4 linked regions of the Arabidopsis thaliana genome follow. The protein of the gene in region 2 interacts with the protein of the main gene of each other region in a biochemical or structural test. Each region holds a gene or a part of one and is shown on either strand. Other genes may lie near its edges. The genes, in order: VAMP721, SYP121, SNAP33 and SYP61.

Region 1 (4,419 bases), on a different chromosome or scaffold from region 2:
CGTCGATTGGGTAAGGATATGGCGGCTCCTCAAAGTTTAGGTACTCATCTTCTTCTTCGTAGAAATGAGAATTGGCTTCTAGAAGCTCAAGCTCCTCCGGCAATGGGATATCGAATTCCATTCTCTGATATGATTGACCGTATCGGAATTTTGTTGGGATTTGGTGCTCGGTGAACAAAAGTGAAAATCGGAATCTGGTGTGAGCTTGAGCGGGAATGAGAGTGTTTTAGCGGGAAAGTTTTGGTTGCAGGATCTCAAATTAGGTTTTACGGCCCATTAAATATTCGGCCCACTTAACTAAAATAGCCCAAATATTTATACCATTGTGACTACAGATTGTTGTTTCTTGACAAGATGCTTCTGTATGTACTACTAAACTCTGTATTGGTTGCTCCTACTGATAGCAGAGTAAACACGTATGTTTGAACTCATAAACGACCCGATGGCCGACAAGATCTACTCAAGCGTTGCGGGAGGAGTTTGAACAAAACAACCTTGGTGGTCGGAATATGACGTACGTATATATATGTACTACCATCCCTAGTAACGATATAGAGAGGGCACTACTCTTATCTAAATTTAAAGTAACCAGCACACATCACGCCGTATAATCGTCAATACAATCTCAAATTTTTATCATCACCACCACAATGCAATCTTCAGTCAACAAAATCATTTAATAGTTTCGGATCTCTTGTCAAGTACTGACTGGTTCGCAAGGGATCAATGTCATCAGATGCAAGCAATATAGCAAATGAGTAGCATACATATATGTCTATCTATACAAAACCAATTCAAGCAGAAACATTAGATTGAAGATCGAACAATAAAAGAGAAGGCACTACGATGTACCGAGTGAGAAAGATCTCAGAAGTTTTGAATTTTCTGGGCTTAACACTTAAACCCATGGCAAACTGAGAGCACGATGATGAGAATCAGTGCGATAATGATGGCGAGCACTATGAGTTTTATCTTCATGTTCTGAAGCCACATCTTTCTTCTCATCTGCGTTCCTGTTGTTCTGAAATCTTGTGCCTGTGGCAGTTTGAGTTCAGTTAGACACAAGATATGGTAATAGGATGAGTCAGCTATGAACTCAAAAAGCATGTTCATCTTTGTGTGTGAGTGTAGGCAAATAGATGCAGGAGATAAGGGTATGAGAGAGTCTAACCTGTGAGCGAAGATTTTCGGTTTTGTCCACCAAAAGCTCAATTTTCTCACCACGGTCAAGAACCTGCAAATAATGAGTCGCATATGTAAGCGGTGTTACATTGGTAAACTGGACATTTCCCGTAAGATGTAATGCATTGAATTATTAGTAATTGATTTCACAGTAACTTAGTATGACTAGATGAGCTCTTTCAGATGGGTCAACCATAGATGTAAATATATACATTGAGGACAGAAAGGGTCAGATTCAAACCTTCTCAATGTTTTCCATCATTACACCCTTAACTTCTGACACTTGCGCCTTCACCTTAGCAAGCTTGCTAATCTCATCAGGATGATCCATGCAATACTGCATATGCTCTTTCAGTTTAGAGCTTCAAAGTTACCAAAAAGAGTCAGTCCACGAATATAAAAGAGAAGATCATCCAAATAGAAGAGATAATGAAAAAGTACCCAAACTCCTTATTCAAGCTGTTTGCTTGAGCAGTTGCAGCCTTTCCACCACCATATCGCTTGTTAAAATCTTCTTTTACTCTTTCCAAAAAGGACATGGGAATTTGCCTCCCAGCAGAATCAACCGCAACAACACAATAGGCTGTACAACAGGAACAAAATCAATCTCCTTGTCTTCCCTTACGGGATAATCAGGTGACATTGATTTAATATGAAATTGATATGGCTACAACAACTAAAGGATAGTCACAAAAGCTTACAATAAGACCCCAGATTTTCATTGAAAAATGAAGCCAGCCAAAACCCATGACCTAGGAAACTATACGCAAATAAAGCAACCAGTAAAAACCCTGTCTCAGATCAATGTTGGTGTTCTTCCACATAGTATCAACCAAAGCTACCACGGATTCTGTCCAAATCTGAGTGATTATACAGGTAAGACTCTACAGAGATTTATTGCGTTTAATAAATATAGATCTAACCCTAAAAGCTTGGTTCATGCGGTTCCTCAGTGAAATCAGACTACTCAGGATGCACAAATCCATACGAATCGATAGGTTAGGCAAATAAACCTAGAAACAAATCGAGGTAAGCACCGAATGGTGTAAGATTAAAACCTATGCATAGATCAAACGAAAAGTGACTTACTGAATCCATCTTCGACAAGGTAATTGAAGGTATGACCGTCGCAGTTGTAGGTGAACTTGTTGTTCGAAGACGGAAGCTTCTGGAGGCACTGAGCAGCGATTGAGGTGAAATTACCTTTGAAATCAGTGAACTCAACGAGGATCACCGTGCCGCGAGCTACGAAACTGTAGATCAACGATTGTTGCGCCATTTTTTCTTTACCTTAAATCTCCGATCCAATCGACCGTCTGATCAGAGAATTTTTTGGGCGGTCGCGGAAAAAAACTACAGATCTAGAAGACTATGAAAGAACAAAACGAGGACTAAAGTGGACATGGGAGAAGAAAAAGTTGAAAAGCGGGCAAGGGTAAAGTTGTCATTTAAGGTAGTCAGATTGGGTCAAAAATAGTATAAAACCTTGAATTTAAGGACTAAAAAAAAACAATTTCAAAACGGAGAGATCAAACAAATGTCGAGAAAGTTGGACCCGCCCGGATCCAGCCAAAAAGCTCGTGGACTCTGCCGATGGCACAAATTAGTAATTACCAACTTTAGGACAAGTTCAGGTCCCATGGTCGAAGAGAGTCTGTCTCTGTCTTCCTCAAAATATCTTTTTTTCCAAATTCATCATTGATCAGTGATTCCAGTATTAGCTCAGTTACGAACAAAAGGCTTAAACATAAAAACAAATGTTGTAATTAACCAAATTTCTTAATTCTTAATGGACGGGGGGAGCTCATAGTCATAGTATCTTGTTACAGCAACAAAATTCGAACTTCTACCGTTATCTCTTGTCATCTACAATTGCTCTGCATTGTTTAGAACCTGCTAATTAATTTGTTTAACGTGTTCCTAAAGATTTTGATCAACAATCAAATAATTGAAATTTAGGTAGTTAGGTTGTGGTTAGAATAGAAGGTTAGTGAATTGGAATGAAAGAAAAGGTTTGCAACATTATTTTAATTTTTTTGGTAGGAAGGTTTGCAACATTATCAATTGAACGTTCTTTTAAGTAACATAACATATAATTTATAGAAAATTTAACAACTCAAATATCCCTTACACATCGCAATTTTCTTTATAAAAAATCAATATATAATATATATATATATATATATATTTGTTTTTTAAAATGCTCATTGATAAACATTTCACATTTGAATTGAAAAACGAGCCACCGTGGTGTAAAAACATGAAGATACTATTATTAATTAGACGTGAATTATTTACCAAAATAAAGTTTATTAAGGCAATTTTCGACTATACAAATGATGAATTTTTCTTTTTATTTACTTTTTATATTTAAAAATTCAAAATTTGAACGTTACCAAAGGGAAAATAATGTCTCTGTTACTCGCGCAAATCCAGCGCTCTCATATAGTTTCTCTTCTCCGATCTCTGCGTCCTGCTTTCTCCATCGCTACCCCTCGTTCCCTTGTGTATTTTTACATCGCTTACTAATCTCTCTCATCAATTCGATCGGATTTTTGTGGTGTTCTTAGGTTTCGTTTTTTTATCTTTCTCTCATCTGGATAAAAGGAAGAATGGGACAACAATCGTTGATCTACAGCTTCGTCGCTCGCGGTACGGTGATCCTCGCCGAGTATACCGAGTTCAAGGGCAATTTCACCTCCGTCGCCGCTCAGTGTCTCCAGAAACTTCCGTCCTCGAACAACAAATTTACCTACAATTGCGACGGTCACACTTTCAATTATCTCGCTGATAATGGCTTCAGTAAGTCTCTATCTCCCGATCTGTGTCGATTTTGCTCTGTATTTCTCTGTTTATGCCTTGGTTCATCTGTTTTCTTATGAATGCTTAGTTTCGAAATCAAATGTTCGAGAACAGTGTAGCTTTGAATTTCGTAGGATATTCGTTGCTCTCGATTCTTGTGGCATTGTGTTATATTCAGATTTTCTTCTAATCAATGCCATGTCTTGATTGGATATGCAATCTGTTGTTTTCGTTCTGATTTTAATCAGCTTTATGCATGGCTTCTTTGGAATGTTTATTGTGAAGATTTTTATGTTTGGAAAGCTTTGGTTGTCCAATGCACGAATTTGCTTTAGTTGGAATGTGACAATAAGATTTCTCATTTCCCTCTGTTGTTATGCAGCCTATTGTGTTGTTGTTATTGAATCTGCTGGGAGGCAGATACCAATGGCTTTC
Region 2 (3,949 bases):
CTTACCATCATCGATGCCATTGTAGATGCGTGACGAAGAGCTTCAGAGATGTGAAGAAAGTGAGAGAAATGGAGCAGAGAGAGAGAGAGAGGGGGGGAGTTAGGGTTTAGGTCTTCTGTTGTTCATATAGGAGCAACTAGATCGACCGATGTTCTTAGAACCGGACCGGCCGGTTGAACCGATAATTTCACTTAAAACGCAGCGTTTTATGGTCTGGACCCCACTTAGAAAGTCATAATTAAATTATTTAAAAGTTTCTCCATGCTTTTTTAATGGAGTTAAATTATGCAGACACAAAATTATGTAAAAATTGGCTTTCGACGCATATATTTGTTGATTTTTCACTTTTGCTCTGTTAATTTAGAATTTGGTAAACTCTAATGTGGAAAGGATGGCAATGGAGGTGGCTCTTTTGGGAGGAACTCAAAAGGATTATACTTTTTGAAGCAATACTTGTTGTTTGTAACTAAGCTACATGATAAATCAAAGTTTAATTAGTCATTAGTCTCTCTAGACAATTGTTCTTATATATTATGTGTTCTAACTTCTATCAAAACTATAAGGACAATTGACAAGTTATTAAACATAACGACTACAAAGTACAAACCATTAAACTACATAGTACAAATCTGATCAAAAATATGTTTGCTTTATTGTTGTTAATTATTTACTTTTATGTATCTATATATTTAACACTTGAACTCAGAGAATGCATCCTTTGGAAGACCACCACGACCACACGCATTGTTAACGTTGCGAGCAGCTATCTTTAGCTTGGGGGACTTGAGAAACAAACACATACATTTTTTTTTCATTATCATATTATAACAACAACGCTCATAAATGTAACCGTGAGTAAAGAATTCAGTTTTGTCTATGCACCATTGCATGTCCTTTTCACAATTACCCACACCACCGGCTACTTTGATGGGAGCCGGAAATGACGTCATGAATATGACCAAGGCAATGGACATCAATGGGATGATCTTCATGTCTGATTTATTAACCTACCAGCTGATGACAAAATATCTCAAATCAGGAACAATTAGTTTTGCAAAAATGTTGTATATTTTTTGTTTGTTTGAGATCTTTAAATAGGAAACTTGGAATCAACGATTTATACAACATATGGGTATCCTATAGATTAGGGAGGAAAGTGATTCTATTTTTATATGGTTGTTCATATTGAACATTTGACTTGTTCTTTATGTATATCGGTGTATGGTTGTTAGGATGTTGTATATCTTACAAATCGAACAATCGAAGTATTACAATTGCTTTCCGGTGCTCAAAGACTGGGCTATGGGTTTAGGCTTGGCCCTTTAACGGAGAAAAGCAAGGATTTGGTGGGCTTCTTTAAATTTGGTTCGATGGACGATTCTAAATTATGTAAATTAATTTGATATACAGTAACATTTTTGTTTTTTTAAATGTTTTCTGCTGAAGTCAATTTATCAATAAGTGTTTCGTATGGGCTAATGTATCCTTTGGATGATAAACTTAAAGTATCCAAAGCCGACAAAATAAAATTTTAAAAATCATTCAAATTACGAATGTTTTTTTCTTTCTCCAATTTATATATGATTTTGGGATCTGTTACCGTATATACTTACACGTACGGGACAAGGGCACACGGTTTCGCTTTCAACTTCACCTTCCCTTCTCCGCCATTGTTACTTTCTCAGAAGCTTCCAAGTCAACCAATAGAGACTTACTTGTTTGACTTCTTCCTCTCTTACCTCATAATCCTCCTTTTGGACTTTTCAATAAAACCGCCTACTTGAATCTGTACGACTTCTTCTCATTTTTCCATTCTTTAAGTCTTCCCGTTGATTCATTCCGATCTGAAATCTCTCTCTAGATTTCTCTATTTTTCGAATTTTAAATGAACGATTTGTTTTCCAGCTCATTCTCTCGCTTCCGCAGCGGAGAACCATCCCCTCGCCGAGACGTTGCCGGCGGTGGCGACGGAGTTCAGATGGCGAATCCCGCGGGATCAACCGGTGGTGTGAACCTCGACAAGTTCTTCGAAGATGTTGAATCTGTGAAAGAAGAGCTAAAGGAGCTAGATCGGCTCAACGAAACACTCTCTTCATGTCACGAGCAGAGCAAGACGCTTCACAATGCTAAAGCCGTTAAAGATCTCCGGTCTAAAATGGACGGTGACGTTGGAGTCGCGTTGAAGAAGGCGAAGATGATTAAAGTTAAACTCGAGGCGCTAGATCGTGCCAATGCTGCTAATCGGAGTCTCCCTGGCTGTGGACCTGGTTCTTCCTCCGATCGAACCAGGACCTCTGTCCTCAATGGTCTCAGGAAGAAATTGATGGACTCTATGGATAGTTTCAACCGATTGAGGGAGCTTATCTCGTCCGAGTATAGAGAAACTGTACAGAGGAGGTACTTCACCGTCACCGGCGAGAATCCGGATGAACGAACCCTAGATCGACTGATTTCCACTGGTTAGTTTAATCTTCCATTCAAATCACTTCCAGATTCAAGTAGAATCATCATCTAGGTTAACATATGATGACCAATTGGTTTCCGAACACTGATTCCAGGCTTCTTAGTATACAGTGTTGTGGTTGTGAAGAACAGTAACTTCAGATTTTGCGTTTAGACTATGAAAATGGATTTGTATATCTTATGTTGTGCTAGTTCCTAGCTGTTAGAGCTGGAATTGATCTCTGGATACTTAGACATGTTGTTACATGAGTGGTGGTGCGACATTGATACTGTTTTTGTTGCAGGAGAGAGTGAGAGATTCTTGCAGAAAGCAATACAAGAACAAGGAAGAGGAAGGGTGTTAGACACCATTAACGAGATTCAAGAAAGGCATGATGCGGTTAAAGACATTGAGAAGAATCTCAGGGAGCTTCACCAGGTGTTTCTAGACATGGCCGTGCTGGTAGAGCACCAGGGAGCTCAGCTTGATGACATCGAGAGTCATGTGGGTCGAGCTAGCTCCTTTATCAGAGGCGGAACTGACCAGCTACAAACCGCTCGGGTTTACCAGAAGAACACGCGAAAATGGACATGTATTGCCATTATTATTCTCATCATCATCATAACTGTTGTGGTTCTTGCTGTTTTAAAACCGTGGAACAACAGCAGTGGCGGCGGCGGCGGTGGTGGTGGTGGGGGTACCACTGGAGGAAGTCAACCAAATTCAGGGACACCACCAAATCCTCCTCAGGCAAGGCGTCTATTGCGTTGAAGTTGAAGTTGAAGTTGAGTTTCGTTATTTGCATATATATTCTTTCTTTGAAAAACCTTATTATCAAACCAGCTTTGTGTTACTACTTTCTACTGCTGGTTTGTTGTTAATCTCCCGTTTATTTGGTTTTTGTGAAAGAATTTAAAATGTGGGTTAGATGAGAAAATTAGTACAACATTCTCTTGTATCTATGTTTGCTATATGGGTTATATTTACTTGATGTGATTTCAGGGTTTATCGTTTCTTGTTCTATTTGGTTGAAGTATATGAGCCATTTCAAACCAAACGAGGTAATACCAACCGATAACACAAAAACTTCATTAGTCTTGGCATTTTCCAAGTTCGAATATGATACTAAATCTAGACTTTGATGCTATGATTTGTTCTGGGGTGTACTCTTAACATTTTGTTGACTTTTCAGTTGACTGATATGTTGATCCTACTGTGATACTTTTCTTTCTTTTTTTTTTTTTTTTTTTTAATCCCAATTCTGATTCAGATTACAGAAGTTTTCAAGTCTCAAGAACAGTAAAGAAGATCAATATACGTACAAGGGTTACAAACTTGCATTATCATACAAGAAGACCAGTTTTCCAAACACTACCTTAAAACATAACAACAAAACAAACAAGATCATCATCATCATCATCATCATCATCATCATCATCATTTCATCAGATGTTGTTGTAAGCTACAGAGACCAAGTGAGGAACTTTACCATCATCAAAAGGCAAG
Region 3 (4,690 bases), on a different chromosome or scaffold from region 2:
CTTCCGCATGAACAAGAATCTCACTGACCCATCGAAGGTGACTGAGGCTTATGCTGAAGCTAAAAAACAGCTTTTTGTTGCTGAGAGAGTGCTCAAGGTTTACTTGGCATATCCTCCCAAGACCAAGAACATCATGGAAGTCAAGCTTCAGTAGATGTATGTTTGTCATTACAATATCCTCCAAAGCTATTTGTTTTTAATGGTCATGTTGGAGCCACTTTATATTCATTGATTGTCGAGTTTGTGGCTTGAGAATATGATTCGGGAACAAGTGGTGTTTGTATGAGATTATTATTTCCTCTATTCATAGTTCTTTCCAACTATGTCAGATTGCTTTGTCTAGTTCTCATTAGTAGTCTTTGTGTTTTATGGCTTCAGACATTATACAAGTGAAGAAGAGGACATTGTGGAATATATCCCTTGGATTGTAGCTGAGGAAGACTAAAGGGAATGAAGAGTTCCTGGTTTTTTTGTTCTTTTGAATAATCTCACATGATTGTGCAGTTGTTGCATAACATATGTTCCAACTTGTCTGGAGTTTCTGTATTCTTATGTCGTATTCTAGCACTGATATTTTTAGGTTATAAATCTGAGATTAAAACTCATAATTTCATCTATTATCAGAATTTCTTGAGAAAGCTTTATGATACAGATAAAAACGATACCAAAGTTGCTTCTGTTTGATCAATAAGTTTTTTGGTTTTTTGTCACAAGATCAAATACAAACACAGATAGCAATAATGTATTTAACATGATAAGAATCTTTCCAGTTTTAAAGAACAACTTCATAGAGAATAAAACAAACGAGGAATGAGTGTAATGAACATATAAACCCTCTGTTCATCTACTTTCCAAGCAAACGGCGACCACGTTGGTTTGATTGTTGCACTCTGAAGTTGAGTTCGTCAACATCATCATGAAGATGGTCAAGTCCTTTGTTCTGCTTCTCGATTTCGCTTCCCATGTCAACAGCCATGTTCTTTAGCTCGCCGAGTATATCACTCAAGTCTGAAAGCCCATCGTCTTGCTTAGCTTTTTCCATCTGTAATAAACCAGTATTAAGTTTAGTGGCGTCCAAAACACATGTTTTTCACTCAGATATATATGCTCATCATTGATGAGTCATCAATGTCTCAAATTGTTAGCATTACAGGACCACAGATAAAGAGTTCATGCATCACTCATATCAGATGCAGGAGTATAGTAATGTTCTTATGAAAGGAAAAATTGAAGAGAGGGAAGAGAAGTCCAAACCTCCACTCTCTGATAAGCATCAGCTGATTCGGGGAGTGGTTCTCGGGTTCTTGATTGTCCTCTGGGTGCTGAGTTCAGTCCCAGTTTTTCCCTTTTCTCTAAGTGGTTAACTCTTCTCGTTGGTGAGTCATCTAAGCAAAAACACAAAATAAAGGATTCAGCAATTAGGTGAAAGTAAAATAGCTGCGAGAAGAATTGAGATATCAATGACCAAGAAGCAAACCTCTGGTTACGACGGGACCATTTATAGGACGAGTCTTCTTTGGTTTCCAAGTCTTTGAAAACATGCCTCCAAGGCTTCCAAGAAGTTTCTCACCCTGAAAACCAAAAATCCAACTAGTTTCAGCATCAAATGTCTACCGTCTTCTTATCTCACACCAACTAATGTCCTCAGAAAAAGATTGAATGTTTCCATTTTATAATCAAGAACCAGAAGGAAGAAAAACTCACACGACTGAGATCATGGTCGATTTCAACGGCTTTATGGTGCGTCCTAGTGATTTGCTCGCCCTGATCGTGTAACATGACCAAAGTTCTGGTAGCATCAGACCTTATATCTTCTGCTACCTTCAAACAACCTTGTACAGATTTCGTAGTCTCTTCAGCCTTGTACACAGCATAACCTTCAAGCTCCTGAACCGACTGGTTTTCAATACCACCAGAATCACGGAAATTGTTCTTGTACTGGTATTTGGAGTTCGAAAACAATGACTGTTTGGATGAACTACTATCTCCTTTCTGAACTCTCTCACCACCAAAAGGGTTTGTCATATCAGCCAAAGAGGGTTCAGAGGTAGTCCTCTTAGAAGGGTTAAGGGTATGTTTGTTGTCAGATTCATCATCTGAATCGAAAGGATTTGGCTTGGAAGACTTGAGGTCGACTGAGTTATGCTTGGGAAGATTTGCCGGTGATTTCCTTAAACCAAACATTGTCTCTCAGGATAATATCACAAAGCTTGTTGCTTCAAACAAAAGGAACACTTGGATTGGTTACTACTAATAAACCTTCCTGCAGAAACCAAAACAGTAATCAGGATTGATGCTTTGATTCTAACTTGTAAGCTAAGAGAAAAGTTGATCAAATCAAAGGTATAGATAAAGTAAAGCAACAAGTCAAAAACGTAGCATCGAATGATTTCACTTCTAAGAACAATTTAAACGATAACATAAGACGAGACCAAAAAGTATAAGTTTTAGTTAATCAATTTTAAACCTAATTTTGGGCATAATTGAGTATATGTAGCGGCTAAAGAACCCAAGACTATGAAAACCACACACAAAATTCGCTTAATTATTTCGATAATTCTCTCTGGAACGAAACAATCGCAGAAGAGGAACGGAACAAATCGAAAGCCCAGGATCTAGCAGACGGAAATTGAGAAGAAAGGAACTGAGAATTTTGAAGCAAAAGATAGAGAGCAGATTGTGGTTACCTGGATGAGCGAAGTGGAGTCCGTGAAGAAGAAGATGGAGAAGATGAAGATTAGGTTCTTAATGAATAGAATAGAAGAGGAAGGAGGACCAAATCAATGCGAAGAAGAAGAAGAAAGGAAGAAAGGATCAAAAAGGGAAAAGATTTAACGCGGAGACGACTCAGAACGACCCAAGAATTTGAGAGTACAACAAGGAGGTCTTTGGGTATGTGTTGACGAAAATTTATCAAGGAGATTAAAAAAAAAACAAATTGTAGAAAGGAACGTGGATCAATTAATAAATAAAACAAAATCATTTAATTCAAATCTAAAACGGTCATATATATAATTCTTTTTTTTTCTAGATCAAACTTCTAAAAAAGTAAAAAGTAACTACTTTCTAACGAAAATAGAGCAATTTAGATCTTTTTAATTGTATATAGGACGTAATTGTGGATATAATAAACGTAGTTGGATTTTTTCTTACAGAGAAAGAGTCATTTTCTTATATTTTTCTAATTTCTGCTTCTTTTTTTGTACTGATGGTTTAGTTGATAAATTGTATGAGCCCAAAAAGAATGGGTAAGTTGTCAATTTTGTCATCCAAAAAGAATGGTCTTTGTTGAATTTGTCAAAGAGAACATATTTTCGCCCAAAACCAAAAACTACTTGAAGATAGAAAATTGTTTGACAATATCTATGGATATGATCATGCCTAATTTATCTCATTAATTTTTATTTGTTACCGGTTACATTGATAACGACTACAACAAAATCTTGATGTCCTAGTAGATACGATATTTCAACATATCATTTTGGTGAAGAACAAGTTGGAATATGTTTTTGCTTAAAGTCAAGTTGGATTAGGTTAGACAACAAATCTACAAGTGTCTTGATTAACAATAAAGACAACAGGTTCTTTTCCTTGACCCATTCATTTATCCCTTTGCATCAACAACAAGGTTACTAGACTCTGCACATACATGATGATACAACAACGCTTCCAGATTTCTTTATTTTCACAAGAAAAAGAAGAACAATAAAAGAGAGAAAAACGGGCCATCAAATAAACTCAGCCTTATTGACCTAGGCTCATTACAGGCCTATCAAATAGAGTCAAATAGTAAGAATCTTCTTGGTCAACGACCACAGCTTTCAACATTCTCTAGAGACTCATGTCAATTTCTCAAGATCTCTACATGTTGCTGAAGGCGTAATTAAACACTTAGAAGCCACATGAAGAAGCAGTTTTTTTTTTTGGTAGGCACATGAAGAAGCAGTTTCACTCTTGTAAAACTCAATTTCCATATATAAACATAATCACAGGGATGAAATCTATATTCCAATTTCCAATCAAATTGGATTATGTACACTTTAAATACATAAGAATTCAAACCTTATAGCTTAAAGGCTTATTTGAGGCATTAACTGTGATTTCAAGTTTAACTCGAACCTTAGCTGGTTTATACAGCAGGAAGAGGAACTAAGCAAGTTGAGGACTTGTTCTTCTCTCTCTTGATCTTAACAAGAAAATGGATATTTGTTAGGTTCCTTCAACAATATCTGATGGCTCAAAAAAAATAAAAAAATTGGAAGATATAAAGAAGCAAGTACCTGTGCTTCTAGATTGGCTATTCTTTGTAATGATGCTTGTTCGATGCATGCACGCCGCTTGCATTCTTCCTCCAATAAACATGTCATTTCATATCTTAATTCAGCCATTTCTTGTGTTAAGTCCTCTGCTTCTTCCTTGGCCTTTAGTTTCTCTTCTTTCAACTCATCCTTAGGCATAACAAAATAATGGTTTAACTAGTTAGAATATGTGTGACGCTGCAAAAAGGCACCAAATTTTTGATTCTACTGTTTTGTTTGGTAACTAATACCTTGAGCTGCTTTACAAGATCTTTGTATTGAAGTATCTGTCTTGCCATATCTTCCATTTTGTCTCTCAGTTTCCCATCCTGGAAAACCTCTAATTTCTTGATGATGTCATGGAAACAATCTGGATTTACAGGCGCTTCACT
Region 4 (4,588 bases), on a different chromosome or scaffold from region 2:
AGCGATAGCGGCCGCAGAGATTCCCCGACGGTTGTCGTCATGTTATAATTTCTTGCACAAGAAATCGTTCCTTGCATTTTCAAGTATGTTTTTAAAGATAGATACCAATTAGGAAAGGAAGGTTTTGTTATATATACATGAAGAAAGAGAGATCAGAGAGGAAAGTCTAGCGTCAACGATGGTTACGTAAGGATGTGCGTCACAGGAAGCTATGGGTGATGGTGCTGTTTACGTCACTGGATTGGAGTGGACTTAGTCATAGGACCGTGTCGTTATATCGTATCACATGTTTCACGCTGACTTTTTGGATCCCACTTTATTCTTTTAATAAATCTGCACGTTTTAATTTTGGTTCCTCTCTACTTTACATAATATTTTACTGCTTTTTTCATATCAATAAAAAATAGGAGAATTCTCAGAATTTATTACTATTATATTTGGGTTGTTTCGAAACTTTCGATAGATGGTTGTATACTTAGAAATATTCGCATGTGACGACCACATAGTGGATGCTTGCTTCTTTCGATCTCGACCATCAAAACGGAATCACCAGACTATATACAACAATTTTGGTAATCTAATACTAAAATTGTAGAAAACACAATTTTGTTTTGGGATTGCTAAATAAATACACTAGAGATGCTAGAGAGACCTAGCCTAAACTTTCGATATTTTCCGTTTTATCATTCAAGTAATTAATATAACATTTAGGTGTAAAGGTTAATAATATATATGACATTATATTCTTAGTGATCAAAAATCTAAACATAAACTTTTAGGAAAAAGACATATACTACTTTCCAAATTAATGTAACACGATCATGTCATATAGTAATGACCATGTTTGGATGAAAGTGGTAATTATGAGACGTGATTAAGTACTCTTGTTGAATCCTTCTTTTAAACCAATACTAAGAATAAGTTTGACATTATTGTCATATTATTTGTACTCGGACTTTCCGAGTAGTAGTGGAGCCTTATTAACTAATAATAATAATACGCATGACAGGAAAAAACTGAGAAGGTCATTTAGAAAGAACCATCGTCGAAGGATGGACGGTGGAAAAGTCGGTAGACGTCAGCACCAAGCCACCAACTAATTTGGTTTGTTTTAATGGAATCATGACGTCTTTCTTCTTTAAAACTCATGTCACCCATTTCTTCCTAAATTTGGACTATTATATGATTATGGGAATTGCATTTCTTTATTAAAGTCACGTGTCATCCTTTAACTTTATAAGTTCTTCAGGTTCCAAACTCCAAAGCCTTTCCAATTTTATCGTTCCACCAAATCCTGAAATGAAAGTTCAACATCCATCATGGTCCCAAAACGTTAAAAATATTTTAAAAAATAGAGTGTGGGGGATTTAAAAATTCATGACCGCTAGTAAAATATACAAATTTTCAACAAAACAAATTGCATGACCGCTTTGTTGGAGATATTATATTTACAGTTGCCTAACGTGAGAAGTTTGCATAACAAAACTAATCACAAACTCACAATATATACCATTCTTCTGTGCACCGGAAATCTATAACACTTAAAATCTTAAATGTGTAAACCCTAAAATTTTACCATACAATTTTTGAATTGAGAAAACAATTATTTGTTTTTGGTTTCTAGGATTAGTAAACAATCATTTATAGTAGCATCGGATTTTTCATGGACTATGAATCTTCTCAATAGACAGACTTAGGTCACGCTTTAACCAACAAAAACTCAGCAAGAGTGGTTTCTTTCTTCTATAACAAATGCCAAATATGCGTTTCAATATAACCATTTTCTATAACAGTTAATAATCAAAATTTTGTAACGTAGAAAATGGTCTTTATTAATACTGTCGTAGATTTGTAATAACTTATTGGGCTCTGTGGTCTCTTATTGGGCTTTATAAGATTCTCCAGTAGCCCAAAAATAAACTTTCAGCGAATCTCAAAGCCAACCGCAGGTGATGCGTTTTGCTATGTAAGAGAGACGAATCTCACGCCGGAATCTCTTTTACTTCACCGTCGTTTGTTCTCCGTCGCGTCACCTTTCGATTAATTCCTTCACAGGTAAGGAAGCTTCTTCAATTTTCCTCTTACATCAATTCTCCTTTCGCATTGATCCTTGTCGTTATCGTCTCTAAACGCAAGCTTTTTCTCCAATGTTTGTGTCGATCTTAAAGCACATAGATTGATAAAGCCGTTCCGGTTCTATTGAATAAAATTCTAACCCTAGATTAGCCAGGATTTAATCGGAATTTCTCTGGATCTAATAGTTTTGTCGAGTTTGATCATTGTGACTTAGGAACTCTAATTTTGCAATCGTAGAATTTGCGCATCTCCAGAACAATCCCTGCCAATGAGATGAAATTTCAAAATTCTGTTTCTGTAACTAACTTTGCATAAGAACTTGTTTCTATAGCTTAATCAGCTGTGTTATTTGGTGTATAGGGTAGCAAAATTTTGTTGATTTCGGGATGTCTTCAGCTCAAGATCCATTCTACATTGTTAAAGAAGAGATTCAGGATTCTGTAAGTTGTTCAGAAATTGCCAGAGATGTTTTTTTGTTTAGATTTTGAAGTACAGTGATTGATGGATGATGCTTTGTTAGATTGATAAGTTGCAATCTACATTCCACAAATGGGAGCGTATCTCTCCCGACATGGGTGATCAAGCACATGTGGCGAAGGAGCTTGTTGCTACTTGTGGAAGCATTGAGTGGCAGGTACTCGTATTTAGTCACGGTTCTATTAATCTCGTCTTTATATATAATTTAGCTGGTGTGGAATAGGATTTGTGTTTGTAAATGGATCTTGTAGGAATGTATTGGCCCTTATTTACATGATTAGAAATTCCAATTGAATATATTCGAGTCCTTTCATGGCTATTGAAGCTGTTTTTACTGATAGGAAGGTAGATGAGCTGGAAAAAGCGATTACTGTTGCAGCAAAAGATCCTTCATGGTATGGCATTGATGAAGCTGAGCTTGAAAAACGGAGGAGATGGACTAGTAATGCTAGGACACAGGTATGTTCTCTAAGTTTGTTATGAATACTGCTTTACATAGTGGCATAAATTTGTTGTTAGTTGACTTGTGCAAGACGATTACGATTTTTTTTATAGGTGCGGAATGTGAAGTCTGGTGTTTTAGCTGGAAAGGTTAGTTCTGGAGCAGGTCATGCAAGTGAAGTGCGTAGAGAACTAATGAGAATGCCAAACTCGGGTGAAGCAAGTAGATATGATCAGTATGGAGGGAGAGACGATGATGGTTTTGTACAGTCAGAATCAGATAGGCAAATGCTGTTGATAAAGTAAAGCTCTCTCTGTGTGTTCTACATTGTTTTGCAGTCTTTTCTTTGCTTCTGAGTTTATAACGATTTTAGACTGAAGATTGTAGCATAGTGTTGTTCAAAAACAGAGTAGTGCCATAACTTAACATCATTTTTTTCACTTCAGGCAACAAGACGAAGAATTGGATGAGCTTAGTAAAAGTGTACAGAGAATTGGAGGAGTGGGGCTCACTATACACGACGAACTCGTTGCACAGGTTAGTAATATGGGAAGATGATTTAACAGTAGGACGTATCAGTAGAGATCAGAAACATCAAGTTTTTGTTATTGTGTGTGTTCAGGAGAGAATAATAGATGAATTGGATACGGAGATGGACAGCACAAAGAACCGTCTTGAATTTGTTCAGGTAAACCCCTTAAAGGTCTTGTTGCTGGTTTGATTGCAGAAAGTAAAAACTGAAAGAATGAAAATGGTATTGTGACAGAAAAAAGTGGGAATGGTAATGAAGAAAGCTGGAGCAAAAGGTCAAATGATGATGATATGTTTCTTGCTCGTCTTGTTCATCATCCTATTCGTTCTTGTCTTCTTGACCTAAAGAACAGAGCCGCGGGATCTTATAGATGGGAGTTTAATGTCTTACATTATCATGTTTGTGGTGAAACAAATGGAATATTTACATAAGGTTGTCTGTTTTTTCTTCTCCTATCCAATCCCACATATAATTTTGAACTTTGGCTGTGTGATCTCTAGAGAACCTGAAATTAAATACTTTCATAGCTTGATCCCATGGCTAAGTTCCTTAAACAATACAAATCAGTCTCATCAAAAGTAAGCCGTCAAAAACTTCCCTATAGAATACACCTTTATTATGCCTTCTTTAAGTTTCCGCAATGTCTCCTTTGCTTCTTCAGTTCTGTAACGAAAAAAAAATTCCGAAAGCAGACTCCATAAGAAACATCTAAAGACAACAAAATGACTCCAAAAATAAAGAACCGGCAAAAATCTAACAATTTGTGGCAACAAACCCGGCTACTGCTCAAAAGACCACCCTTAATAGTTCATAATTGAAGGCAAATGCTTCAACTGATCGATCATCAACGAATCCAAAGGACTCACTCACTATAAGCATGATCTCCGGAAGAATCATTGCCGGATATAATTAGTTGAATAACTGATTTATTGTTGAATCTTTCTGATACTATCGTTAAACTCTTATGACAACGCTTTTTTTTTTTTTTTGTGTGCAAAATGACAACGCTTTAGATTGTAAAATGAATAATGAGTCATTGTATCATTAATAAGAAGAGATTT

Evidence for each region.
Region 1: the proteins of SYP121 (region 2) and VAMP721 form a complex in vitro, tested with the Arabidopsis thaliana proteins (one study listed by BioGRID).
Region 3: the proteins of SYP121 (region 2) and SNAP33 form a complex in vitro, tested with the Arabidopsis thaliana proteins (2 studies listed by BioGRID).
Region 4: the proteins of SYP121 (region 2) and SYP61 form a complex in vitro, tested with the Arabidopsis thaliana proteins (one study listed by BioGRID).

Annotation. Positions count from the first base shown.
Region 1 is NC_003070.9:1,330,966-1,335,384, forward strand, and holds VAMP721 (vesicle-associated membrane protein 721), read right to left. Parts: upstream 2,687-4,419; 5' UTR 2,462-2,686; coding exon 2,272-2,461; exon of another isoform or gene 1,766-2,271; coding exon 1,624-1,765; intron 1,545-1,623; coding exon 1,424-1,544; intron 1,235-1,423; coding exon 1,172-1,234; intron 1,036-1,171; coding exon 892-1,035; 3' UTR 501-891; downstream 1-500. Other genes in the region: CTF18 (P-loop containing nucleoside triphosphate hydrolases superfamily protein), read right to left, coding at 1-121; VAMP726 (vesicle-associated membrane protein 726), read left to right, coding at 3,795-3,984, 4,367-4,419. UniProt on the Arabidopsis thaliana protein: Involved in the targeting and/or fusion of transport vesicles to their target membrane.
Region 2 is NC_003074.8:3,728,805-3,732,753, reverse strand, and holds SYP121 (syntaxin of plants 121), read left to right. Parts: upstream 1-1,502; 5' UTR 1,503-1,885; coding exon 1,886-2,459; intron 2,460-2,747; coding exon 2,748-3,214; 3' UTR 3,215-3,449; downstream 3,450-3,949. Other genes in the region: AT3G11830 (TCP-1/cpn60 chaperonin family protein), read right to left, coding at 6-20; AT3G11825 (Bifunctional inhibitor/lipid-transfer protein/seed storage 2S albumin superfamily protein), read right to left, coding at 690-992; AT3G11810 (uncharacterized protein), read right to left, coding at 3,889-3,949. UniProt on the Arabidopsis thaliana protein: Vesicle trafficking protein that functions in the secretory pathway. Together with SYP61, regulates the post-Golgi trafficking of the aquaporin PIP2-7 to the plasma membrane, thus modulating cell membrane water permeability.
Region 3 is NC_003076.8:24,621,521-24,626,210, reverse strand, and holds SNAP33 (soluble N-ethylmaleimide-sensitive factor adaptor protein 33), read right to left. Parts: upstream 2,964-4,690; 5' UTR 2,688-2,963; exon of another isoform or gene 2,468-2,687; intron 2,264-2,467; 5' UTR 2,185-2,263; coding exon 1,705-2,184; intron 1,572-1,704; coding exon 1,478-1,571; intron 1,386-1,477; coding exon 1,255-1,385; exon of another isoform or gene 1,043-1,254; coding exon 845-1,042; 3' UTR 580-844; downstream 1-579. Other genes in the region: AT5G61220 (LYR family of Fe/S cluster biogenesis protein), read left to right, coding at 1-154; AT5G61200 (myosin heavy chain-like protein), read right to left, coding at 4,130-4,186, 4,281-4,448, 4,550-4,690. UniProt on the Arabidopsis thaliana protein: t-SNARE involved in diverse vesicle trafficking and membrane fusion processes, including cell plate formation. May function in the secretory pathway.
Region 4 is NC_003070.9:10,013,971-10,018,558, forward strand, and holds SYP61 (syntaxin of plants 61), read left to right. Parts: upstream 1-1,885; 5' UTR 1,886-2,055; intron 2,056-2,436; 5' UTR 2,437-2,462; coding exon 2,463-2,516; intron 2,517-2,596; coding exon 2,597-2,710; intron 2,711-2,780; exon of another isoform or gene 2,781-2,865; coding exon of another isoform or gene 2,866-2,898; coding exon 2,899-3,012; intron 3,013-3,108; coding exon 3,109-3,296; intron 3,297-3,441; coding exon 3,442-3,532; intron 3,533-3,617; coding exon 3,618-3,683; intron 3,684-3,761; coding exon 3,762-3,872; 3' UTR 3,873-4,077; downstream 4,078-4,588. Other genes in the region: GRX480 (Thioredoxin superfamily protein), read right to left, coding at 1-77. UniProt on the Arabidopsis thaliana protein: Vesicle trafficking protein that functions in the secretory pathway; the fusion of phospholipid vesicles containing SYP61 and VTI12 is triggered by YKT61 and YKT62. Together with VTI12, required for membrane fusion.